2 linked regions of the Neurospora crassa OR74A genome follow. The protein of the gene in region 2 purifies or fractionates together with the protein of the main gene of each other region. This does not show direct contact. Links are inferred from orthologs where the notes say so. Each region holds a gene or a part of one and is shown on either strand. Other genes may lie near its edges.

Region 1 (7,651 bases), on a different chromosome or scaffold from region 2:
CAAAAAACAGTCTAGTAAAGCAACTCTTCGCCATGGCCCGAGAAAACAAGCCCTCCATTATCTTCATCGACGAGATCGACGCCCTCTGCGGTCCGCGCGGTGAAGGCGAGTCGGAAGCCTCGCGCAGGATAAAAACCGAACTTTTGGTCCAAATGGACGGTGTCGGCAAAGACAGCAAGGGCGTGCTGATCCTGGGCGCCACCAACATCCCCTGGCAGCTGGATGCTGCTATCCGTCGCCGCTTCCAGCGCCGCGTGCACATCACTCTGCCGGACCTGGCGGCGCGCACCACCATGTTCCGGCTGGCTGTGGGCGACACCCACACGGCGCTCAAGGCGGAAGACTTCCGCGAGCTGGCGCGCGCGGCGGAGGGTTATTCGGGTTCGGATATCAGTATTGTTGTGCAGGATGCGTTGATGCAACCGGTGAGGAAGATTCAGCAGGCTACGCATTTCAAAAAGGTTCGTTCTTTTTTGTTTTTCTCTTTTCTCTCCCATCCCTGACCCTCAACCCCTACTTCTACCTCTATTCATGATGCGAGATTGTTAACTTTTGTTACTACAAAAAACAGGTCGTCCACGAAGGCAAACAAATGCTCACGCCCTGCTCGCCAGGCGATCCGGACGCCATCGAAATGACGTGGGAGCAGGTACCCTCGGACGAGCTGCTCGAACCATTTGTCGACAAGAAGGACTTTATCAAGGCCATCAAGGCCAGCAGGCCGACTGTGTCGGGCGAGGATCTCAAGAGGAATGAGGAATGGACAAAGGAGTTTGGTAGTGAGGGTGCGTAGAGAGATGCCTGCCACAGTGTGGGGGGCGGGTGTGGTCAATGGTTCGTTCCGTGCGGTTTATTCTTGTTCTTTGGTGTTTCTCCCATGGAAAGCGAAGGAGTGGTATACAGAGGGCGGCGGGTATCTGGATGTTTTAGGTACTTTTTACTTTGGGGTTAAGAGTCTTGCAAGCCCCTTTTTCTATCTTGGCAGCACATTGCATGCGGCAAGGCACATGTTTACTACGAAGACTTGATGATGACGATATTATTCTAGCGAGAAAATCAGGGGAAGATGGAGTGTCGATGGGCGTTTTGCAATCATGCGATATTGGAAGAGTACATAGATTCATGACACTTCACATCAACCAGGTACTTTTAGACGTACGTTCCGTTTCGTTTAATGAGCCTTTGTTTTTACCCATATCGCCGCCATATGATGCTCCATGGGTATGATGCTAGTACACACGCACATCCTTTTCAACTTTTTTGCGCTACCCCTCTATGATCAGTCGTAGATGGCAAGAGATGTGAATGACGACAACGACGAACTATTTATGATTCTTGCAAGAAACAAGTAGACCCGTAAAACTCCTTTGTACCAGATTTGACCCATACCCCATACATTATAAGAAACTCCCGAGGATAACAACGACAACAGAGCGAACCAACAAGAACGACGTGCCAAAAAACGCGACGAGAAGCTCTAAACAAGATGACGAAGAAAAAAAGTAAAAATCGTGAAAAAGACACAAGTGGTGACGCTGCTTTTTGGCTCTTTTTCTTTCGGTCTTTTTACTCAGACTTCGACTTCTTCTTCTTCTTCTTCTTCTCGGGTTCCGCAGCGTCGGGGGCGTCTACCATCTCGACGTCTTCGCTAGTCGCTTTCCTCTTCTTGTCCTTCTTGTCCTTCTTCTCCTTCTTCTCCTCCTTGTCCTTCTTCTTGTCCTTCTTCTCCTTCTTGTCCTTCTTGGAGTCGGCGGCGTGGGTGGCGGTGTGCGAGTCGACCATCTCGGTGTCAATGTCCATGTCACCCTCGTCGTCCATGACGAGCTTGATGGCCTTGTCCATGGCCTCGGTGTTCTTCATGGGCTTGATGCCCTTGGCGTACCACTCCAGACGCTGCTCAAGCTGCTCACGCATAACCTCACCAAAGCGCTTAGTGGGGTTCTCAGAGAAGTTGTCGATACGGGAGGCAATGGAGCACTTGTTGGCGAGGTAGCGGGAGATGCGACCCTTGACCTTGGGACCGGCGCGGCCAATGAAGGTGCTCTGGTAGAGGAGACCGTACTTGGGGGTGGCGCCCTTGGTCTTGAGAGCGCGGAAGAGGGCCTTCTCGGCACCGAGGATCTGGAGGGTAGAAGCGGGGTACTTGGCGAGGTTGGTGAGGGAGCCGGCGTGCGAGATGAGGCGGGCGGCAACGGGGGTGCCGAGGATGACCTGCAGGTTAGGAGCGACCTCGCCCATCTTCTTGTCGAGCGACTCGGCGAGGATGCGGCGGTAGTCGGCCATCTTGGAGACGTTGTCCGCGAGGTCCTTGACCATGTTGAGATCCATATCGCTGATGTCCTGACCCATGGAGACCTTGGCGGCCTGGATGATGGCCTTGGCCTTGTCCTCGTCCTGGTTAAGGACGTTGGCGAGCTCGTCGAGGGACTCGTCGCTGAGAGACTTCTTGTTGCCGACAGCGAGAACGACCTTGGCGTAGGTGCCGTTGTCGGAGACGATGCGAATAAGCTCAGGGAAGTGCCAGCCGTACCACTCCCTCACGCGCATGGCGCCGGAGTTGATACCCTTGTCGAGGGCATCGAGGGTCGCGATACCCTGGATGATGTGGTTGTCGTTCTTGTGGACGGAGAACTTGACCTTGGCGCGGGAGTAGGCGTGACCGAGACCGAGCTGGGCGCGGTTGATGTCACCGTCCTGGAGGCCCTTGAGGAGCTTGCCGGCGTGGGTGCGGATGCCGCGAAGGAGGGCAGCGACGACCTCGGAGGTATCGGCAGCCTCGCACTGAATACCGGGGAAGTTTCCGCTAATTTCACCAGCGAGCCTCTTGTCGACGACACCGAGGACGATCTTGCTCTTCTTTCCGCTGGTCTGGGGGAGGTTGAGTTCGAGGGTGTTCTTGAGGTGGTCGGGCATGATACCCTCGGAGATGAGGTTGATGGCCTCGAGACCGTGGGCGGCAGAGCTGGAGGTTAAGGAACGTTAGTTTATGGTTCAGCCAAGACAAGCAATTCACACAATGTTTCTGTCCCTCCCAACATCATCACCACCACCACCACCACCACCACATGACCATGAAATCACCACAACCACCTCAACCCGAAACACCAACTCCAAAACCACACAATGCTTTTGCTTCTGGCCACCTACTTCCAAGGGTTGAAGCTGCGGAGCTTCACCATCTTGCCGAACTTGTCGAGATCCTTCATGGCATCCTTGACCTCGGGCAGCTCCAAGCCGACAGTGTCGGCCTGGTGGACGACCTCGAAGAGCGAGAAGCCGACCGCGCTTTCGAACAGAAGATAGTTGACGTTGGCCATCTTAGCGGTGATGTTGTCGTATGATGACTCTGGATTGATGGGTGACTGGGTAACCGGGTGCGCTGGGATTGGAGTGTTGTGCGCAATTGGGCGTCGTTCAATGCCACCGGTGCATGAACTCAGTCTTCGGTCTCCGGGAATCAGAACGGCGCTGTGTTTGGATATTTTTTTGCTCTGCCACTTTTGCCCTGGACAAGTTTTTTCGAAATTTTTGCGGCAAGCTCAGGACGAAGCACGGGCCACAGCCATGCGGGGTGGGGATTCTGCCTACCCCAATTCACGCCGCATTGGCCACCCCATTGGCCCGTTGGAGCGCTGTAAGCTGGGAAGGCTTAGCAACCAATGGCAGCAGCAATTGTGCGAAACTCCTTTGGATTTTCGTGTCGATAAGAATTCGGATAAGAAGAGTCTTGCCAGCTGAGCGACAGCTGTCCGTGTGCCTGGCCTCTTGTCTGTCTGACAGTCGGGTCCTCGTCGTCGTCCTACCTCCCACACTGACACGGGACATTTTGCTGCCCCATTCACCCACACCCACTCACCACACCTGACTGACTCTTTGCATCGAACTCAACCAGATCGCATATCATTTGGCCAATGGTCGAGTTCCCTCACTCACATCAGCCCTATGGGCTCGATCTGCATGTCTGACCTGCACAATGGGAGAGATTGAGGCTTGGACTGTTTGGCGGTGTCGGTAACAGTCCGTCCTTCATCGATCCTTTTACGGTTTTCCATTTCCATTCGGAAAGCAGCGAGACGGATGATTCATGATGAATCCTTGTTCTTCTTTCCATTGCGGCAATGCCACAATCCCCTTACTTATTCGGTCGTTTTCGTGCCAATATGCAAACACATACTCCTTTGTCGTCGACCGAGACACATGCCATCCCATGTTGTTTGTTGGCGTCATGTCTGCTCACACGAGACACGATATGCAGTCAGATCGAGAAATGTGAAGGCGTTGGTCACGGGTTCTCTCGCTTCTCGCCTCACAAACTGGTGTACTTCAGTTCTCTCTTTCGGGCTCCCCTCTGCCACCTCATGTCAACATGCCCACCTCGGACTTGGGTTGTCACAAGTGTCGACCGCTTCGCATTCCCAAGCAAGACCCGGCGTCCATGAAGGGATTACCAACTGAAGTGACCGGACCGCCCGATGACTCAGGCCAGCATTATCGACTGCCCGGTCTCAGGACATTCAACGCATCGTCTACTACGACGTTGATGTTCTCGTCAGGGCGTGGCAGAAACAACAACAACAACAACAAGACAAGACTTGGGATGCTTTGATTATTCCATTGTGTTCAAAGCATGTCGCTCATCATCGGTTTCACATCCTATAATGGCCGTTGTCTGGATGATCACAGGCGTCGCAATCTGGGAATGCCTTCTCTGGCTTCTGCGGGATTGGTCGTGAAACGGTTCCGTCCAGCCGGACATCCAATCAGCGACACCAACTCCGGGTCTTCGAGGGATGATACAGTATGTACAGTGGCGGAAGAGCCCTACAGCATGCACGACACCCCCAAATTGCCCCAATGCTCCCGTTCTTCAGCGCATCAGAAGCGTACGGGTTTCGATGGCGCACCATTCCGGCCCGTTGCATGGATGTGGTGCCGCTGTGTACCTATCATTTCCATTTTGGGTCTCGCAGCGTCGACGACACCATCACGATACTACACAGTACCTCAGTCGATCCAGTCTCTTCCGACAGTTCAAGTGATGCCAAGTCCATGGTGGTATTTGGCGTGGTGATTTGTTTCCGTCGTTTGTATCATGATGGCTCTTCGGGCGAGCAGCTTGCCTCACGCTCATACGTAGCTCATGTAGCTCGAAGCGCGAGATCCGTGGCTTTCGAATTAGGGGCATCAACATCAACCAAGCAAACGTGTCGTGGAGCTGTGAACGAGAATATGTACCCGACCTATCTGACCAATATATCAAATCGGTACTCGACATGCACAAGGAACAGCGCTGATACTACCCTCCACCATCTCCTAGACGCCATTGGATGCCCCAGTCGAGGCCTGAACAGTGCGCAGCTGCGATGAGCTTCCATCTACACCGACCTTCCAAGCCAAGAGACTGTCAAAGAGGTACTCTGCAGTGTCTGTCTATCCGTCCCCATTGATTCAGCCTTATGCCCTCCGGGTTACGTCGCTATACAGCGGCATCTCCGTACGACATAACCCCATCCTTACGTACCTTGCCAAGCCTAGTCTATTCGCTAACTTACCCTGGACTTGGAACAATGGCCAGTCTACGAGCTCCGCGCCGGCACACCCCACGAAACCATCATCAAGGACCGCGACTTCGCCTTGTTCTGACATGATACTACCGTCTCTCCGCGTCACCCTAGAGGCCGGCATAGGAAATGAAAGCACCGCCTCCTCCAGGAACCGGTCCGTCTCCCGATAGCTTGGTTACTTCTACCCGGATCACGTCGGCGCTTGAGAGCCTCTTGATCTCACTACCCCCACAAGGTCTTGCACAGCCCTGTGCGCAGCCAGTTCGTGAATCCACTTCATCAATTGGTCGAATGAGCATAGATCTGGATACAAAACATGATCTGACACCCCTAGAGCTTCAATAAATAAGAACAAGACCCCTTCTTGAACAAGGTCTATCTGGAGGTAACCCGTTTCCTGGCTTCTTCTTCTCACGGGATTCTGCACAGACTGATACTCTTGGCTTATATCTTTGTGGTCTAACAGAAACCATACACCTGCCCAATACCGTCCAAATCCTCTTCATGGCTCTGAATCACCATCAGCCAAAGGTGGACCGTGTGAGAGAAGGATTCACCAGCTATGCCGTCGGGGAGATTGATGCTTTTTCGTATCAGGTGCCGACTACTACATCCAAGGAAAACCCATATTCCGAGACACATACCGACAACATCTGGCAAGAGACCGACTACTTTCCGACTTACGATCATGATCTCATCAGCAAACACTCCCGCGCCTCGCTTGCCTCGACATCTAGACGGAGCTCAGCTGCTCCCAGCATCTTTTCGACTGCTGGCCTAAGAATCTCAACTGCCTCGACGGCATACTCACGATATTCGGTTCGACAACACTCCGTGGACTCGGCGGATCCTAATATGTCTGCAACACCTTGTAGTTCTGGGAAATGCGATGACGGCTTCAACACCGATGACTACCCACCTCGCTATCATTGCACATTCTGCGACGCCATGTTTGCGTGTCCCGGCCAGTGGAGGGATCACGAACTCAGGGATCACGACAGACCCGAGGAGCATTTGTGCTCCATTTGCCACGATTCTTTCTCTGAACGACCATCTCTTGCATCCCATTGTCGAGATGTTCACAATCTTTCTTCTTCCCCAACGACTCAACACATAGTCAAGCTACCGACAAGAGGTGCTTGGGGATGTGGATTCTGCGGTGCCTTCGTGCAGTCGCGTCCTGACTACCTAGATCACGTCGGCCGGCACTGCGAAGAAGGCATGCAAAGAGCCCATTGGCAGCACTCCTCTGTGATTCGTGGCCTTCTAAAACAGCCAAAGATAGCGGAAGCATGGGACCGCCTGGTTACGAACCAAGAGCGGGATCGAGGTACCAGGTTGCATTTTACGTGGGATGAACAGGCGACCGGACGACACGCGGCCACGGAGGCTGACGACGCCCGCAATCCCTCTCGGTTGCAAGACATACTTGAGTTCTTTGCAAACAGCTCTTCGGACCCCCAGTACATCGCGCAATATGCCTTTGACACGGCTCAAATTAGAACCGAACAGAACGTCAATAGTCTCGTCAAGGCGTACTACTCTCATGGCTTGCGCCCGTTGCCGGAGAGTCCAGGTGACATCACTTCACCTCGAGTTGATGGAATGAGCTACCTAAACCTCGAGCAGTCCGCGCCCCAAATCAGTACTAAAAACTCCGACAATCCTGTACCGGCTGAATCTTCATTTCCCGTGTCATTCGCGGGGGCAATTTCTACTGCAGCGTTTCTTTCGCAAGCAACTGTCGTCGAATCTGGACTAAGTCCCGCTTGGGACCCCTACGCTCGCACCCAATTATCCAAGGCAAGCCAGGATCGAGAAACGGACATTGCACCGCATCACACAAACTCGCCCAACACCACAGAGAGCGCTCCTTCTCCTGTGACAATGACCAATGCATTTTTACACACGAAATCGACTCCATCACCAATACGAAAAGGGCTACGTCGGATAGATAGCGATAGACGTCTTGATGCTCTCAAACCTGGAACTGTGGACTTGGTCCGAGGGGAAGATCTCCAACGTCCACGGACTGCTTTGGCCTCAAATTACACCAGAGCCCCAATTGCAGTATCTGTGGAACATGG
Region 2 (7,363 bases):
GGAACATCCGCTGATTCCGATGACGACGGCTTTCTGATTTGGGTCCAACATCGTGAAAGAGCGTGGAGGTGTTGAGGTGTAGTTGAGCTCCAGTTCGACGCCGCGATGCTATGTCATGGAGAGAGAGTCCGTTTAAGTATTGAATAAAGAAAACAAGAAAAAAGAAATAAAAGAAGAGGACTACGTAGGAGTGTTATCTAAACTGTAAGAGTCAACAGAAGTGGTTCAGTTCGGAATTCTTGGGCGAGGTGCTCACAACTGAACCAACGTTGGGTTGTTGCCATTGGTGGTTTCCTTGAAAGGAACCAAAACGGTACGTACCTCCCCGCGTATAAGCCAGGGGTTAGTGTAGGGGATCGCCTGCCTGCCGGAACCAACCAAAGCGATAAGGCTTGTTGACACATCCACTGCTCTCCATATCGTTCTAGGCGCCTTCTAGCACATTGACCCCCCTGTGGGATTTTCCATTCCGCTGGCTTCTTCCTGCTGTCAACAACCCATGCACGTCATCCCCCTTCTTCCAACTCGAACAGCAGCAGGAGCAGCACTCCGAGTCCGTCTAGATTTTCCAAGACAACAACGAGCTTCCGTCAGTGTCACAAAGAACTATCGATTCGCTTTCTCGACCGCCACAACAACTACTGCCACCATCACAAACTCCAGACCGCGAGTAGTAGTTCCTCATCAAGCACCGCCGTATCAACATCACCGCCGACCCTTCACCACCAAAACAGAAAAATTCACCACCGCCCTCACAACCGCCACAATGTCCGACATTCCAAACGCCATGCCCTCCATGGTCATCCTCTCGACCTCCATGATCTCGCTCATCACCGGCTTCGTGCTCGGCGTCTACGCCATCCGCGGCTACCTGATCCCGCCCGAGCTGAAGGAGGAGCGGCGCCGGAACTTTCAGGACCCCGTCGAGAGCGAGGAGTCGGAGGTGGACGAGGACGATTACATACTAGACCACGCGCCCAACTGGGCCAACGGGCTCGAGGCCGATCAGCGCCAGGGCTTGCGCGCGCGCGGTGCTGCTGCCGCTGAGGAGAAGAAAAAGAAGAAGAAGCAGCAGCAGGAGAAGGCGGCGCCCAAGTTGGGACTGGATCCGACTGAGGAGTGCAAGTTGGTCTTGGTTGTGAGGACGGATCTGGGCATGACCAAGGGTATGTTTTTTTTTTTTTTTTTTCTGATATCTCTTTTCTACTTTATCCCTTAACCTTCGGTTTATTGACGTGTTGCTGTGGTGGAAAACAAACAGGCAAAATCGCAGCTCAATGCTCCCACGCCACCCTCGCCTGCTACAAGCGCCTTTTCTCTGCCGCCCAGCTCGAGCCCCTGTCGCTGTCGGCCCGCCTGCTCCGTCAGTGGGAGCGCAACGGCCAGGCCAAGATCGCCGTGCAAACCAAGACCGAGGATGAGATGCTGGAGCTGATGGCCAAGGCGCGCAGCTTGGGCGTCACTGCTGAGGTGATTCAGGATGCTGGCCGTACGCAGATTGCCTCTGGGTCCAGGACCGTGCTGGGCGTTGGTCCGGCGCCTAAGAGCTTGGTTGATGAGATCACTGGTCACTTGAAGTTGCTGTAAAGGGGGAAGACTTTGTAGCGGGGAGAGGATGGAGAAAGTGTGTTATGTTGACGGTAGCATGAACGTAGATACAAAGAGAAGGACGAGAAGCACGAAAAATGGCGTAACGGGGACGGTATAAAAGTATCATTGGGCTTAGAGAGCGATACAGTCAGGTAAAGACTTTGATGCATGTAAGGCGTAGGTCTTGATTTTTACTTTTGAATAGATTATCAAGCAACAAGATGAGTCTCCACATACACGTAAGCATATCAAGTAAACAAATATAGTATCAGCACAGCATCCGGTCGACTGACCGTCTTTGGTTTCATTAAGTGACTGATTCTGGGTATCATCATGTACTCTGTTCTTCCACCCCTCCCACCAATTTTCATGCTCTACTCTTTCCTCGCAAACCTGGCCAGCGTAGGCCCCAGCTCGGCCACCTTCTCCTTGTGCCTCTCCCCGTTCTTCTCCTGCATCTGCTTGTACATCTCCTCGGCCTTGAGCCGCTTCTCGTCGATAATGTTCTTCTTCTTCTGCTTCCGCAGGTACTTCTTGAGCGCGCTGTTCTTGCCTCTGGCCCGGTTGCGCATCTCCTCCTCCAGATCCGGCGGCCCGGCGTCCAGATCCTTGTCCGCCTCCCGCTGCTTCGCCGACCGCAAATCGAGGGTGCCGATAAAGTTGGGGTCGAGCGCAATCATCTCGGGCGCGAGCTTGTTGAGCAGCTGCTTGACTTCGCCCTCCTGTCTCTGCTTCTTGGTCTCGTACGGGTTGACTTCCAAGGCGTCGAAGTTGGCCTCGCCGGCGCCGGGGATGATGAGGGACGAGAACCCTTCGCTGTGGCCGACACCGAGAACATCGTCAAAGGGGCACCACCGCACCCGCTCGACGCGCTTGCCCTCACCGCCCCACGTCATGTAGGGAGACTGGACCTTTTCTTGTACCGGCTTCTCCTTCGAGAAGAGACCCTTCCAGACCGTTGTCCTGGTGCCCCAGCCGACAGCGGTAAGGCCGGTATCTGAGATGGCGACGGACGAAGCGGGCGCCCGGGTAAAGTAGTTGTTGACCTCCTTGAACATGCGGATATCCCAAACGGCCATCTTGCAGTCCTGTCCTGTTGTCACCATGTAGCGGCCTTCGCGGTCGACAGCCATGGATCGTACGGGACCACGGTGGGCAAGGAGCTTGACCAGAGGTTCTGACGAGTTGGGCGACCATAGCGTTACTGTGCCGTTCTGGTGACCAACATGGAGGATAGCGTTCCAGGGGTTTTGTGTCATGGAAACGGGTGTGCCCAGCTTCGTTGCGATTTCGGTGACGATCTGACCGGTCGATGTGTCCTGGTACTTGAGCTGGCCGTTTGTGCCCAGGGTGGCCAGCAGGAAGTGGTAGGGGAGGAATTCGAGGTGGGAGACTTCGACGTGTTTCCTTAGGCAGTGGAGCTCGACGCCCTGCGAGTCGTAGATGTAGGTGTACTTCTTCTGAGCGACGGCAAAGTATTGGTTGTTGTGTAGCCACTTGACGTCCCTGATGGTCTCTCCCAACTGCAACTCACAGCCCAGCTTGCCGTCTCTCCAGTCCATCGTAGCGACATGGCCCTTTCGTCCTGCCAGAATCAGATCCCGGCCATTCCTCGAAAAATCGCAAATGTAAGGGCCTAGTTGGTCGAGCTTCAAGTCGAACTTTTTCTGGGCGACCTCAATGTTGACTTCGCTGACGATGTCCTCCTGGCGAACCTTGTATGTGCGTTCCTATCGTGACCAGCGCGGTTAGTATCGCGCAAGAGGCTATAAACTCCCAAGCCATGGCTACTCACAAGCTCATGTTCAGCCTCGAGGAAACCGCCGGCATTCTCGAGAAGGATTTCGGCCTCCTTGGCCTTTAGCGTGGCCGTCTGGTACTTTTCTTCGAGGTTGGTAAGGTTGCGCTTGAGCTTTTTGTCCTTGACGTTCTTGACATCGATCTTGCGACCACGGCCGTACGACTTCTCTGCTGCCTTGACTTTGCGGATCTTGTTGGCCTCGGCCTTTGATCGGAACTCGCTTCGGACGTTGTTGATGGCAACGGCGCCGCTGGGCTGCTCTGCCCTCGAGAGGGAGATTTCGGCCCTGTCTGTAGTCTCCATGGTGCCAATGGGTCGACGCGACACAATGGGAATGGGTAATATGTGTGGTGGACTAGGACAGTTGGATCGGCGACGGGATATGGATGGGGGCTGAATATGGAATTGGTCTGGCGGTTTCTCGGTGTGCCCGTGTCTGTCCCTCGCTTTGGCACTTTGAATGTTTCCTTTCCTCGACAACTTTTTTGGGGCCGGACCCACTAAAAAGTTGGATGGGGCAGCTGTTCCGCAGCGATCATTGGCTCCACTGCGTACAAGAGTCCGATAAGATAAGTAGCGAGACGGCCGCCCATGTTCGCACAACTCAAAAAAATGCAACGAGTGCCCCGCCATTGACATTGTCCCCATCACTTTATTCGATACTCGATAGACGGATTGTGACCAGAGAGGTTCTCGAAATCTCTTTTCAGTCCCAACCCCCCAGCCTCTTCTCTTCATCGCCTCCCCAGGTCCAACATCCTGGCGTCAAACTCGCTCCCTTTTCGGTTCAAAGCAGGCGGCGATTCCAGCAATATGCCCGGCGCCGTGAGCGGCCACTCGCATCGGCCGACGACCAAGGCGTCGAACAAGCCCTTCAAGTCACGCCATTCTACCAAGGGTGCTCTCCGGAATGCTGCCAAAGGTACGGATTGCATATAACAGCCGTGCCTCATGCCAAGGTTGTTGCCTTGGACTATGCTCTACTTCACCCAACTTTGGCGCACCAAGCCCAAGCAGACATGAATATACAGCTGCATATAAAGAGGTCGACAACGTCCACACAGCGCTAATACTTTCAACATTCTATAGGCAAGGTAGCCGAGGAGAGAGGTGTGCGCAAGACCCCCCATCAACAAGTCATGTCCAAGTTCGACCGTCGCAACCGTAACAAGCAGCTTCAGCTGCAAAAACACAAGGAACATCTCCAGGAGACCTCCATTTTCGCCGGCAAGGATGGTGCCCCCAGAAACGTGGCCGTTATCCCCCTGTGCAGCGACGGTGACGCTACCGAAGCCATCAAGAGCCTGAACGCCAGCATTGATATCGAGACCGAGGTGCCCGAGGGCGCATTCCGCGTTCCCGTCGACAGATTCAAGCAGAAGCTTCAATACTTCCCCCTCAAGCGCGACCTTACCGCCTGCCTGGACGCTGCCAGAGTCGCCGACTATGTCGTTCTCGTTTTGTCCGCGCAGGAAGAGGTCGATGAACTTGGCGAGCTGATCTTGCGCAGCGTTGAAAGCCAGGGTCTCTCTACCCTCTTCACCGTCGTCCAGGGCCTCAACAAGATCGAGCCCCAAAAGCAGAGACTCTCCGTTCTTTCGTCTCTCAAGTCCTACATCACCCACTTCCACCCCGAACAGGATAAGGTCTTCAGCCTCGACAACAGACAGGAATGCTCCAACCTCATGCGCTCGCTATGCAGCACTACACCCAAGGGCATTCGCTGGAGAGACGAGAGGAGTTGGATGCTTGTGGAGGAGGTCAAGTTTGGTGAGTCTACCGTGCTTACCGGTGTCGTCAGGGGCAAGGGCTTGAAGGCCGACCGCCTGGTGCAGGTTGGCGATTGGGGCACCTTCCAGGTTGAGAAGATCACAGCAGCTCCCTTGGCCAGGAGGAAACGTGGAGAGGAGGGCATGAACGTGGAGGAGGGCGCTGAGGAGATTCTCGACCAGCCTACCGACGACCGCGATGATCTTGTCGACCTTGCGCCCGAGGAGGTTCGCATGGAGGACGACGACGATGACGAAATGAACGACGGAATGACCACAATGACGACTTCAAAGAAGGGTGTTTTGTTGGACGACCACCATTACTTCTCAGAGGAGGAGCCCGAGGCTTATACTGCGCCAAAGAAGCTTCCCAAGGGTACATCAAAGTACCAGGCTGCGTGGTACCTAGACGACGATGTGTCTGATTCCGGCTCAGATATGGAAGAGGACGATGAGATGGAGGACGACGACGAGGAAGAGGCCGCCAGGCCAGAGGATGGCGAGGAGGGTCTTGCTGGTTACGCGCCAACAGAAGCCGGACAAACCGAGTACCCACAAACTGAGGGCGGCTTCATCCAACCTGATGCTGATGAGGATGCCAAGCAACTAGAGGCTTTCCGCAAGCAAAAGCGGGATGAGGCTCAGGATGACCTCGAGTTCCCTGATGAGATCGAGCTCCACCCCCACGTTCTTGCTCGTGAACGTCTAGCCAAGTACAGAGGTCTCAAGAGCTTGAGGTCAAGCCCTTGGCAGGAGGATGAGGACCGCGCATACCAGCCAGAGGATTGGGAGCGCTTGTTGAAGATCCAAGACTACCAGGCCTCCAAGATCAGGGCGTCTAGGGAAGCCCTTGTCGGAGGTGTTGCTCCTGGTACCCGCGTCCACGTTTACCTTAAGGACGTGCCCGCGACCATCCAGCAATCCTACAACCCCAGCCAGCCCGTCACTCTATTCTCCCTGCTCAGGCACGAGTACAAGAAGACTGCTGTCAACTTCCTCATCAACCTGAGCGCGGACGCTGCCGCACCCATCAAGGCCAAGGAGGAGTTGATCATACAGTGCGGTCCCCGCCGCTTCGTCATCAACCCGCTCTTCTCCCAGGGCGGCAACACTCCCAACGACGTCCACAAGTACTGCCGGTACCTGCACCCCGGCCAGTCGGCTGTCGCTACTTTTACGGGTCCTGTCACATGGGGTGCTGTACCCACCCTCTTCTTCAAGAGGCAAGTGCCGGGCTCCGTGCTTGACGAAGATGGCGAGCCCGTCTCCAATCTGCCGCTCAGCCTCGTCGCCACCGGCACTGCCCTGCCCCCCTCGACATCGCGCGTCGTCGCCAAGCGTGCCATCCTTACCGGTCACCCGTACCACATCCACAAGAAGATTGTCACCATCCGCTACATGTTCTTCAACAGGGAGGACGTTGAGTGGTTCAAGGCTCTGCCTCTGTGGACCAGGCGTGGCAGGAGCGGTTTCATCAAGGAGGCGCTGGGTACCCACGGTTACTTCAAGGCTACCTTTGACGGGCGCATCAACCCTCAGGACTCTGTGGGCGTCAGCTTGTACAAGAGGGTGTGGCCCCGGAGTGCCAAGCAGCTGGGTGCGCCTCTGCTGGATGCCGCGGCGCTCCAGCAGGAGGTTGATGAGGACGCTATGGATGCGGAATAGAGGAAGAATTTCATGTCTGTTTGGCTAATAGACTAGACGTGCGTGTCAAGGGTTAAGAACAGGGCTTAATGAACGGCGTTTGATGGGAACAAAAAGATGAGTGATATCTCTCGTTGGTTTATCTTTGGTCGGGTCACATATACTATTTAGGGAAATGCATTCATTCTTTCCTCACGCCTCGTTTGATAACAGAGTTAACTGTACGTTGATTGTGTGGATATGCCTGTTGACATTTCAACTTTAAGTTTGTGTCAAATCTCATGACAATTTGAGTCTACACATAGGTTCGAGACCATTGAACTGCATGTCGTCTGTCATATCTCAAACCCTTTCTTCTCCCATGTTTTCCATCTCCTGTTAGTCATCAAGATAAAACCCCAAAGCTGAACCTGGGGCAACAACACCCTATTCACTTGATGTCACCACACTACACAGGCGAGATAGTAATAAGTAACAATGATGCCCACTTTTTGACCGAACACTCGATATCCATCCTAAACCGCCGTAATTCAAGCCCGTATCGCCTCACTTTTCCCCC

What was found.
Region 1: the proteins of NCU01502 (region 2) and NCU06943 purify together in Saccharomyces cerevisiae (affinity purification with mass spectrometry; 5 studies listed by BioGRID). This does not show direct contact. The link is inferred for Neurospora crassa OR74A from reciprocal best matches to the Saccharomyces cerevisiae genes UTP7 and NOP56.

Annotation. Positions count from the first base shown.
Region 1 is NC_026507.1:847,425-855,075, forward strand, and holds NCU06943 (SIK1), read right to left. Parts: upstream 3,893-7,651; 5' UTR 3,318-3,892; coding exon 3,148-3,317; intron 2,963-3,147; coding exon 1,567-2,962; 3' UTR 1,155-1,566; downstream 1-1,154. Other genes in the region: NCU06942 (vacuolar protein sorting-associated protein VPS4), read left to right, coding at 11-461, 572-793; NCU06944 (hypothetical protein), read left to right, coding at 6,069-7,651. UniProt on the Saccharomyces cerevisiae protein: Required for 60S ribosomal subunit synthesis.
Region 2 is NC_026502.1:3,250,612-3,257,974, reverse strand, and holds NCU01502 (small nucleolar ribonucleoprotein complex subunit), read right to left. Parts: upstream 3,845-7,363; 5' UTR 3,695-3,844; coding exon 3,386-3,694; intron 3,321-3,385; coding exon 1,965-3,320; 3' UTR 1,775-1,964; downstream 1-1,774. Other genes in the region: NCU01500 (nicotinamide riboside kinase 1), read right to left, coding at 1-51; NCU01501 (mitochondrial peptidyl-tRNA hydrolase Pth2), read left to right, coding at 500-1,166, 1,262-1,587; NCU01503 (pre-rRNA processing protein Tsr1), read left to right, coding at 4,205-4,313, 4,481-6,825. UniProt on the Saccharomyces cerevisiae protein: Involved in nucleolar processing of pre-18S ribosomal RNA.